Drosophila melanogaster: one gene and its partner. The protein of the gene in region 2 interacts with the protein of the main gene of each other region in a biochemical or structural test. Each region holds a gene or a part of one and is shown on either strand. Other genes may lie near its edges.

The links. Proteins that work in one complex are often made in the same cells at the same time.
Region 1: the proteins of sli (region 2) and robo3 form a complex in vitro, tested with the Drosophila melanogaster proteins (one study listed by BioGRID).

The regions. Positions count from the first base shown.
Region 1 is NT_033779.5:1,254,722-1,259,416, forward strand, and holds the start of robo3 (roundabout 3), read left to right. Parts: upstream 1-1,695; 5' UTR 1,696-2,169; coding exon 2,170-2,224; intron 2,225-4,695.
Region 2 is NT_033778.4:15,918,895-15,924,107, reverse strand, and holds the start of sli (slit), read left to right. Parts: upstream 1-1,989; 5' UTR 1,990-2,469; intron 2,470-5,213. Other genes in the region: bdg (bedraggled), read left to right, coding at 1-29, 99-334, 397-925.

The DNA.
Region 1 (4,695 bases), on a different chromosome or scaffold from region 2:
TAATTTATCATTCAGTCAACGTTCTTCGATTGCAGTTTATCTTCGGAACTTACTTTACTGGGTCGCCAGTGTAATTTCCCACTCCCCCCGCATCTTTCCATTCTGTCTGTTCTCCGGTTCTCCCTTTTCCCACGAGTAAAAGCAGAGGAAAGTGTACTAGGGGAGCAGCAAGGATATTCCCTCGGAGTTGTTATTGTCCTGGCCGTAGAATGAATGGCAAATCAGGAAAATCTGACCCCCAGGTTGTTAGTTTTCTTGCAAGGATTTTTAAAGCCAATGGGAGCAAAATAGCAATTAACATGGATTTTGAAGCATCCACCTCGACCTCAGCCATCCATCCCTCGCCCTCCCTCCCCCTGCTTTTCCATTGAGTTCCTCCTGGTAATAATCGGAAATAATTGAAGAAAGAGAAAAACAGCGGGGAACGGCAAAAAGAGAATACTTACCGGACTGAAAAGCCGGGTAGCGGGGAATGGGTCACATCCTTTGAAGGATGTTTGTGTGTGCAATTTGTAGCGTTTTAATTGTTGTTTATGCGATCTAGAATGGGGGCGAAAGGAATGATGTGGTGGGGACTCCTAGGGCGCGGGGACCCAAATGCATCACCACCGCAAGCCACTGAGCTAATTTTGATTGCGGTGCCTGCAAACGACAGGAATCAGCAGGTGAAAGACGATGTCGGCTCCCGAGATCCTAATTAACTATGCCACTGATGTTTGGTTCGATTCAGCAGATTGCCCTCAAATGCGGGTTAGCAGCAAGTTGAAGTGCCTAATGCCCCGGGGGAAAACAAAGAACTCGAAGTCATGTGAATAAAGTCAGGGGATTGATGAATATGTAGAAGGATATGAAAGCTATCAAATTAAAGTAATACTTGAAATGATTAATTATTTTGATATTAGCAAAACAATAGGTTTCAATCATGACATTGATATCTGTAATCAGCATCTATTAGGAGTGTCATTACTGTGCAACTGGAATATATCTTATCTGCATCGGCATTTAACGGCTATTTCGAAATATTCAAACTTACTCGCTGCTTTTCTGGTTCTCATTCAGTGAATATATTTTACCATTCTCTCACAATGTTGTAAGCATTCAGAGAGCGAAGGAATTCCGGTTGAAACTCCGAAAATGTTGTTTATTCGGCCAGTGCGCAGACTCACCACTTTTGCCGGCAGGATTCAGCAACAAATGTTTATGCTCGCAACTGTGATGATAAACAAACCTGACTGAGACCAGAAACTACAATGTTGAGAAGCCATTTCAATATTATTTATTTGTTTTTGGAAATTTTAAAAACCCTATTGATATAAGATAAACACCAAACTACCATTAGAAGGCTGCCATTTTGTTATAAAATTTACTAGTATGATTGTACTTTACGGAAACACATAGCATTACAAACATTACAGAAAGCCTCTTATATGATGATACCTCCTTATCATACGGAATTCGATTACTTTTCGTTTTCCCGAGCTTTCCCCGCTGAAACAGCTGATTTGCCTGCAGGAATTTACTCCGAAATGTTGCTCTTCCGACTTCCCCAGTTCCCCGAGTTCCGAACTGGCCGAGCTGCTCCGAAGGCCGGAACTCACCACCCAGCGAACATTGCTGTGGACTGTTCCCGGTCTCCGGATCTGAAGGAACCCCATATCGAGTTGGCCGTGGGACGCCGTTCAGTTGAGTTTTGGTTACTGCCGCCAACGGTTATCGAGCTGAAAGTGAGCGCGTGTCGAGCTTTTTTGGTGCCCAGTTGTTTGGGCCAGCTTCGTGGGCGACTGGATTGGCAGCAAACATAAACAAACGAAGTGCGAAATTGCTCGGAAATCAGCTAATTGACACAACGGACATGCGAGGGCCAGACTTTGGCCAAATTTGGCCTGGCCAAAAAGGAAGCGGAAGTACTGCGGCCGCAAAATACATTGTAAACTGCTAAACTGCAGGGGAAGTGTAGCGAATAGTGTGCGAATGGAAGTCGAGTAAAAATCAAGCAACTCGAATAGATATATATATCTTTATATCCCTGCGGGAGTCGCTCCCCTGTGTCTGTGTGCCGGTGTGTATTTGTGTGTGTGTGTGCCAGGAGTTGGGCTGGGCAAATAAGTGCTCGTGCTCAGCTTTTTTAGCCAGTTTATCTTAAGGCGAAATACTGTAAAAAATTGTAAAATGGATTTACGTTTCGTATTCATCGTTTTCCTGCTCAAGTGGACCCATGCACAAGGTAAGCTCGAATAAAAATACACAACTGGTGCAAAAACCTATCCTGGTCATGGACTTCCTTCCTTCCGTCCATCAATCCATCCTATCCTCTCCTGCGTTTGCCTGGCATTCTCTGTTTGTGCAGCTGCCACAAGCTCTGGGTTCTGGGCTCCGAGTGGGTGGATATGGATGTGGATGAAAGGCGGAGACGGGTGCAATTCAAGTGCAATTCAGCCGGCCTGCAATTGCAAATATGCCATAGAAAATTGCTCAACAGAGACAGAAGTGCCAGCTCGTGAATGCACGACATTTGTATAGCTCTGCGATCCCGTAATGAGTTGCATTTAACTCATCCGACTCACTTGGCCGAGATGTTTTGGGAGCCGGGCATATTTATGATGATTGCCGACAGGTGTTGAATGGCTCGTCCAAAGGCTTGCCAGAATGTTGGTTGTCAGGCTTGGATTCACCTGAATGCTGGTTTATTGATACGTAGACTTGACTGGGAATCTGCATTCCGGAGACAGACTTGTCCCAGAAAGATACATAAATACTCGGCATTAGTAAATGGATAAAGTCCGTGCTGATAGCTGAAGAAGCCACCAAAGCAATTTACTAAGACTTAAAACTTTGAATCAAAATGAGCTAAGAATAGACTGAAATATAATTCGGTTATTATTGATAAATCAAATGTTGAATAACTAAGCTTGGTAACATTTCACACATAATATTCCAAGTAGTAGAGTTATTGTGGCAACACAATTTCCATTAAATCTACACTCTGAATTAATTCCCTTGCTCATCCTGCCTAATCGCTACCAAACTTTAGTTGCCAGATTAGCATATTTCCTGATTTGCATTTATTGGCCTAAACTGGCAGATAACTTAAGGCATTTCCCGAATCGTTCCATCCGCTCAAACATGCTTATGCGTAATGCATTGATTACTTCCTCCCGAAAACTTTTGCCAACTATAATTTATAACTCTTGCTTATCTCACCAATAAGTTGTAGCCATCAAATGGGAATTCGTATGAGCAAAACTTTTGTGCCAGACGCAAAACAATTTCCGCTGCTTTCAGCCCAACAAATTAGTGGAAAATGTTCTGCCAAGAAACGAGAAACAAGCCGGGGATTCCCCTCGGGCTGGCTAACTAAGCGAAATGAGTATGAATTCGAGTCGTGGCTCTGAATACAAGTGAGTACTCAGGGGCATGGCTCAAGCGGCATGTTTTTGTTGCATAAAATATGCGCATTTAACAAGGGGCTTCCCACACTTTGCCCCAAAAAGCAAACATATAAATGTGGGCCCACAAAAAAGCATTTCTGCCCGGCCACAAATGATACAAAAGATTATTCATATTTTTCGGAGGTAGCACATATACGAGTATGTATGTATGTACATATGTACATATGTGTGTGTGCGGCCATGTTGCCGCTGTTCAATTTGCGTTTTTTACGCTTGGATCTCCTTTTTTGGTTAAGGGCATTTTTATTATGTAGTTCATGCATGTAAACGAATTCAATTGAATAATATCCTGTCATTTTGTTGTTACATCCTCTTCGGGCTTTCCATTATCCCCCCCCCCCCCCGAAATTCTTTTCCCGGCTGCTCCCCTCGTTTGGCATGTCAAAATTTTTATCAGCGCACAAAATCCGCCAATGCAGGATGAAGGATATGGTGGAGTAAATAAATAAATCCCGACAACACGCGTGTCCTTGTATCGCCGTCCTGCTCGCGCAGATCCTCTCGCCCGCTCCCACGCTACTCTCGAAAGTATGCAATAAATTTCGAACAAAAAATATATTGGCATTTTAGTGGGTTGGCTGCCTTCTGCTCGTGTGCGGTGTATCCAATAAAAGAAAATTAAATACTTTCAGCGAAAGATTCTTCTTTTGGGTAAATTAATCGTACCTCTGTATTCTGTCGGAGTTTCAGATTTTTTCGCGTACCCAAATATGGATTACAATTCACTAAGTGCCTTTAATTCGAGCTTTATTTATAAATATAAATACAATATTTTCCCATATCTGTTACAGCTTTTGGCCCAATTCGAATGCCAGTTTCGCAAAACGGCTCCCAGTCGTGTGCCATAATTTTCGTTTCCCAACTTTGCCCAAGTTTGCTTAATTTATAAATTATGCATTATGTAGACTGCGTTACCAGGCAATTATCATTTTCCCGGGAAATTGCTGGGTCGCTTGTTTTGCTCCTGGTCTCTCGCCCAAGAAAGTAGGCTACGCAAAATTAATTTCTGCTGTATGTTTTTGCCTGTGTGCTTGGCTCGGCTCGGCTCGGCTCTTCATGTGCGTGTGCTTATTTATTTGGCTGGGATTCGAGAAAGGACTCGGATCGGTTGTCTTGTATTTGGCCCTCGTGCCTGGCGGCTACCGAAAGCAAAGGGCAAAAACACAGGGCCATCCGCACGGCGAAGTAGGAAAAAGTTTGGCAGACCGGAATATTAATGAGTATTTAACCTAAATTGTTGCTGCCT
Region 2 (5,213 bases):
TGGCGCACGGGCCACCCGATATCTTGGAGGTGAGTCTATAATAATATTTGCCTTATTATTTGGCACTTTCAATAATATTATTTCCTTTTCTCTTTTAGCGCATTCAACTGCTGTACCGACCGCCCGAGGAGGGAGAGGAACCGCGTCGTCCATCCGCTCGACAAACGGCGTCCCAAAGTCGTCGTAATGCTTTGGGCCAGACCACGGAGGGCGGCCAACACGATGCACAGAACGATGCTCCGCCAAAGTACACACCACCTCCGTCCTACACAACGGCCACTGGAGCCCGCCTTGCCAAGCTTCTGCGCCAGAGCATTCGCCGCAGCGTAAGAAGGTACATAAAAACCATCCCTTAATATAAACAAAAAGTTATTTACGACCAATTTATCGACACAGGGTTCTCGGAGACTCAAGTCGAACGCGACCCGTGCTCTCCCTCGATGCGGAGTCTGCTTCGCCAGCGGCGCCGCCTGATTACCTAACCATACTGACCAATCCGGCTGGCAGTAGTTTCAACGCGGATCCTTCGCCAGCTTCCAGCAGCAGTCCCGAGTCCATAGAGATCGACCAGCGACCCGTTGGCTACTCCCAACGCTCGCAATCGTTGGGCAGGAAACTGCATCGTTCGGGTGCTTCGACACTGGAGAGGCGGCCCTATACGGCGGAGGATGTGGTGACCATACTGCGCTCCTCGGTGCGACATCGCCAGTCGCAGGGAGGCGGAAATTTGGTCACTGCCAGCACCCTGCCTCGCCCCCCAACCGCCGCCATGTCCACGCACTTGGAGGACGCCTCATTCCGATCCATAGAGAATCTTGTGCTGAATGCCGAGCCACCGGACAGAACGCCCGGTGTGGAGCTGGAGCTCGAATTGGAGGCTGGACAGGCGGAGGAGTGCGCGCGAAATAATACATCTGTGATTTAACTGACTAATATCGTACCGTACATAGCGTAACTCTTATGCGATCCACATATCCGCTTGCTTTCTTAGACTTGATTAGCGCTAGTTATCTAAATACGAATATTACCTTGTAGTTATGCGAATAATAACGAAAACAACTAGTTGGTACTCCCAAGTGTGAGCTCTTTTGATCCCTACAACCGGTATTCCCAGTTCGATCCAACCCACCCCATTTAATTCCATTTCACATATATTTTAGGCTTACGGATCGCGCCTGTCTGCACAGTTGCCCTTAAAATTATCCCAACAATGGAGTAGGCCTCCTACGTGCCCAGCTCTCGAGGGTCAGCTATTTAAGGGAATACGTACTTGGGCCCTAAGCCGATTAACAAACGTGACCAGTTGAATAAAAAAAGTGAAAATAAACGGAAGTCCAGGATGGCGTAGCCAACAAAGGCGCCTAATGAGGCGGGCCAGGAAGTTGCTGCATATTTCGATTAAAATGTCACGCCATTTCTTTTGTTTTCTTTGTGACTTGCATATTCCAAAGGGATTGGCCTGCAAAAAAGTTAATCCGCGGAATTTTTAAATCAGCACGAATTGGCGGTTATTATTTTAATATCTGGCAGCGCTGGTTCAAAGAACCAGTTCAAATGGGTTGAGTCTCGGCTAGAACTTTTGTGAAGTTCACACAATAATTGATACCGTTATTTTTACTTATAATTAGTAATTTTAATGCTAGAAATACATAAATAACAATTGAGACCTATATAAAAGCAAGTGATAAGGGTTCTTATACAAGCCAATGTGTGTAGTACAACTACTCTATAATTTGGGATGATAGTTATAAAGTTTTAAATAAATATATATTTTCATGAAAATATTATCAACACTTTAATAATGAACGAGTTTTTGGACCCTTATTAACCATAATATTTGAAATTTAAGTTGGAACAAGAAACTTTTAAACTGTTGGCGAACGCGGTATTTTTTAGGCCCTTCTTGCCGGGTGAGGTTACTCCTGCATCTGGTAACACTGCTCGGCAGCGAAACAGAAACATAAAAAATTCGAACGGCGACGAGAGCGGTCAGACGCACGCATCACTTTCAATCGCGTCGCGTAGAGCGTCCAAAAAGAATTATAGTATAAACCAAGAGTGAAGATTCCGGTGAGCAAAGAATTTGCAATTGCCAAACTTAAGCAAAAACCATAAAGTGTGCATTGGCAATTGAAGTCGCGCGTTCTTAGCCAATCCACATTTGCACGGCCATTTTAAAGCCAAGTTAAGGCCAAAGTTTTCTGCCGCGCCGTCTTCGTAAGTCGCAGGTCGAAAAGTGCTCAAACGAGATTTCCACTTGAAATTCCTGAATTTCGTTTGTCTGCGCGAATCGCATCGAATCGAATTGAAGCACAAATCGCAGCAGCAGAAAAGCGCAAAAGTCGAATTTAAATTCCGTCTGCAAAGTGCCGAAAATTAGTGTCTTTGTTGTGTTAGTGTTTTGTTTCTTTGTCTGTGTGGGTGTTACGATTACGATTGGATTAGCGGTGTTTTCGCCTGATTAAAACGGTAAGTGTCCTTGCGATAATCCTGCGTGCAAAGTTAGTTAGCTGGTGCCAAGTTCGCTCGCCACTCACACACCTCCACCGCCGCCACTCACAACTTATTTTGCTGCAATTTGCTCTAGTGTTTTGTATTAGCATTTTTATGTCCCGCCTCGCCAAAGTTGACAAACAAAAACGTACACACACACACATACACGCACCGACACGTAAGCACACGCACACAAAGGATTTCATTACATTTTGGGTGGGACGTAACGGTAACGTTGAAGTGTAACGTATAACCCTCCCCTCGTTCTATCTCTTTCCCGCCCAAAGCCCCGAATGCTGTGCTACCGAATTTGTTTTCGCCTTCGCTCAGTTCTGTTTTCTCCTGTTTTTATTTATTTTGATGGCGTATTTTGCCATTCCGCTTTGTTCGTATTGCGTATCCTGTCGCCTGCGCTATCCTTCTACAGTCGCATCTGGCTAGAAGGAACTATCGTGTGCCTCAGTCACATGAAAAATATTACACTTACGTAGGTGATTTGATTTTTAAATGTATAAAGTCCCCTTCAAATTGCTAATTGAAAAATATATAAGTTCATGTACATAATCTTATTATGTCATCAATTAGAACCACAACATCTTTGGTTTCCCATTAGTATTTATAGTAACATTTTCTGAGCCCAGGGTATTCTGGTTTCACTGTACATTTTTCGCTGTCAGCTTTTCTTCCTAGTTTCTGCCAGCATTGAAATGAGTTCGCAATAAATATTGCCCAATGTCAAATAAAAGGGCGATGAGCCAGCCTTTTTCCGCCATGGCCCCTTTCCACCTCGGCCTATCTCCTCCATTCGCTCTAATCTCGGGGGACACTAATGCTTTACGACAATTCCTATGCCGTATGCCGCCCAGTACAAACTTAATGCACACATCAATGGCAAATTAGATATACTCCACAGCAAATGTACTAATAACAATCATCGAGTGCGTGTGCGGGCGGGCTTCCGATTCATCCCATACCATACCATACCATACGATACGATACCATCCCGAACCATTCCATCCCACACATACGTCCTCTCAAGACGATTGTTTTGTTGATTTGGCTGTTACTTCCAATACATTGGCATTTAAGGGGCAGAATTGGGATCCACTTATGTGCCTGCCTTATGTCTCATTTGTCGTCGGGCAAATGGAAATCGTTTTGTTTTTGCCTTGTCAAGTGACAAATTTTCATTGTCTCCCGCCACTAATCGCTTACTTAAAACAAAAAAAAAAACCAAAAAAATGAAGAAGATACCACGCCAAAGACTCCAAACAAGAAATAAGACAAGTGTAAATAAACACTTGAGGAGGAGGGAGCGTGGGATCGGGAGTCACGACTAACCGATATCCTCTGTACAGTGTGGGCGGGGGCATATACGCAATGACATTATCATAAAAGGTGCACATGCCAGAAGTTAAGTCGCGACAACTTTCCGTTATAACTTTCAATAACCTTTGTTGTTTGCTCCAATAAAAGCATTTTAATCGATACTCTTGACTTGTGTCAATCCATTCGGATTTGTTTTTGGTTACTAATGGATGTAATGTATGAAGTTATTGGGGCGGCATAAATTAAGAACTTATTTCCTTTGTGGATTTCACGTTACTAAACAGATGGTGATGTGACGCAAATGAAGTCCTAACAAAAGGATATTTATATATATGGTATTCTTTCGCCTAGCTATTTACCTGTATTTTCATATTTATAAAAATACTAAAAGGCCATTCATATTTTATATGGCGTGTGGTCTAATTACTTATTTTTATGACCTAGAGAAGCAAAGATTATAAATTAGCCGTTAAACATTCCTTTCCTCCATCGTACATACCTTTCGATACCCTGTAAATTCCAGTGTATGTACTTAGAGTACGCACACGTACTTGCCTCTTTTGGTGGCATTGCCCGCGGCACCTTCACTTGGCGCAGCTTGCCTTAATTTCCAGCGGACAAACCACTTTGTTATCGCCACGCCGAGGGCCCTTTAATCTCTGGTAGTCCCTGGTTGGCTGGTCAGACCCACCTCCATCTCCGTCGCCTGCCCATTGATTTACGTCTCTATTTTCCAAATGTAGCGCAATCGATTTAGATTGATTTTGTTTAAACAAACTGCACAGCGCAGCAGAAGCAGCAGCATAAAAGGCACCAGAAAGTGTAATAAATAATTGGAAACGGAATCGTTGGGCTGATTTTAATGCCAGCGTTAATTGCGAGAGCCACCCAATTTCATTTCCATTTCCATGCCCAATCGAAATCCAAATGCCATTCCCCAACCCTCCCCATACCTTCAACATTTTCATGCCGATGTAGCGATGCCCTAGGCCAATTCCAAATCCAAATCCAATTCCTATTCCTATTCCTATTCCATCGATGCTTTGGTAATTAGTTGTGAATTGGATTGGGGATCACATAAAAGTGTTGATTACACACTCCGATGGCTGCGCCCCCAGCCACGCCCCCTTCCCGGCTGGGTGCCAAGTGTTTTGTTTGTGTTTATCTCGTCTTCGACGTGTCTTTTTGGGTTTTTCAGAGGAATTAGGGTTAGCCGTGCGTAGTGAAAGTCGATGGGACTGCAGCAGGTGTTGGGTCCAGCAAATAAAGTTGGTCAGCAGGAAGCGTTCCAATTAATCGCATTTATCGCACGGAATTTCAACTACGCAGCCAATTAATTGGGGCAGTTTGAGATGCCAGATACTAAAGATACAGATACAGAAATTCCCACA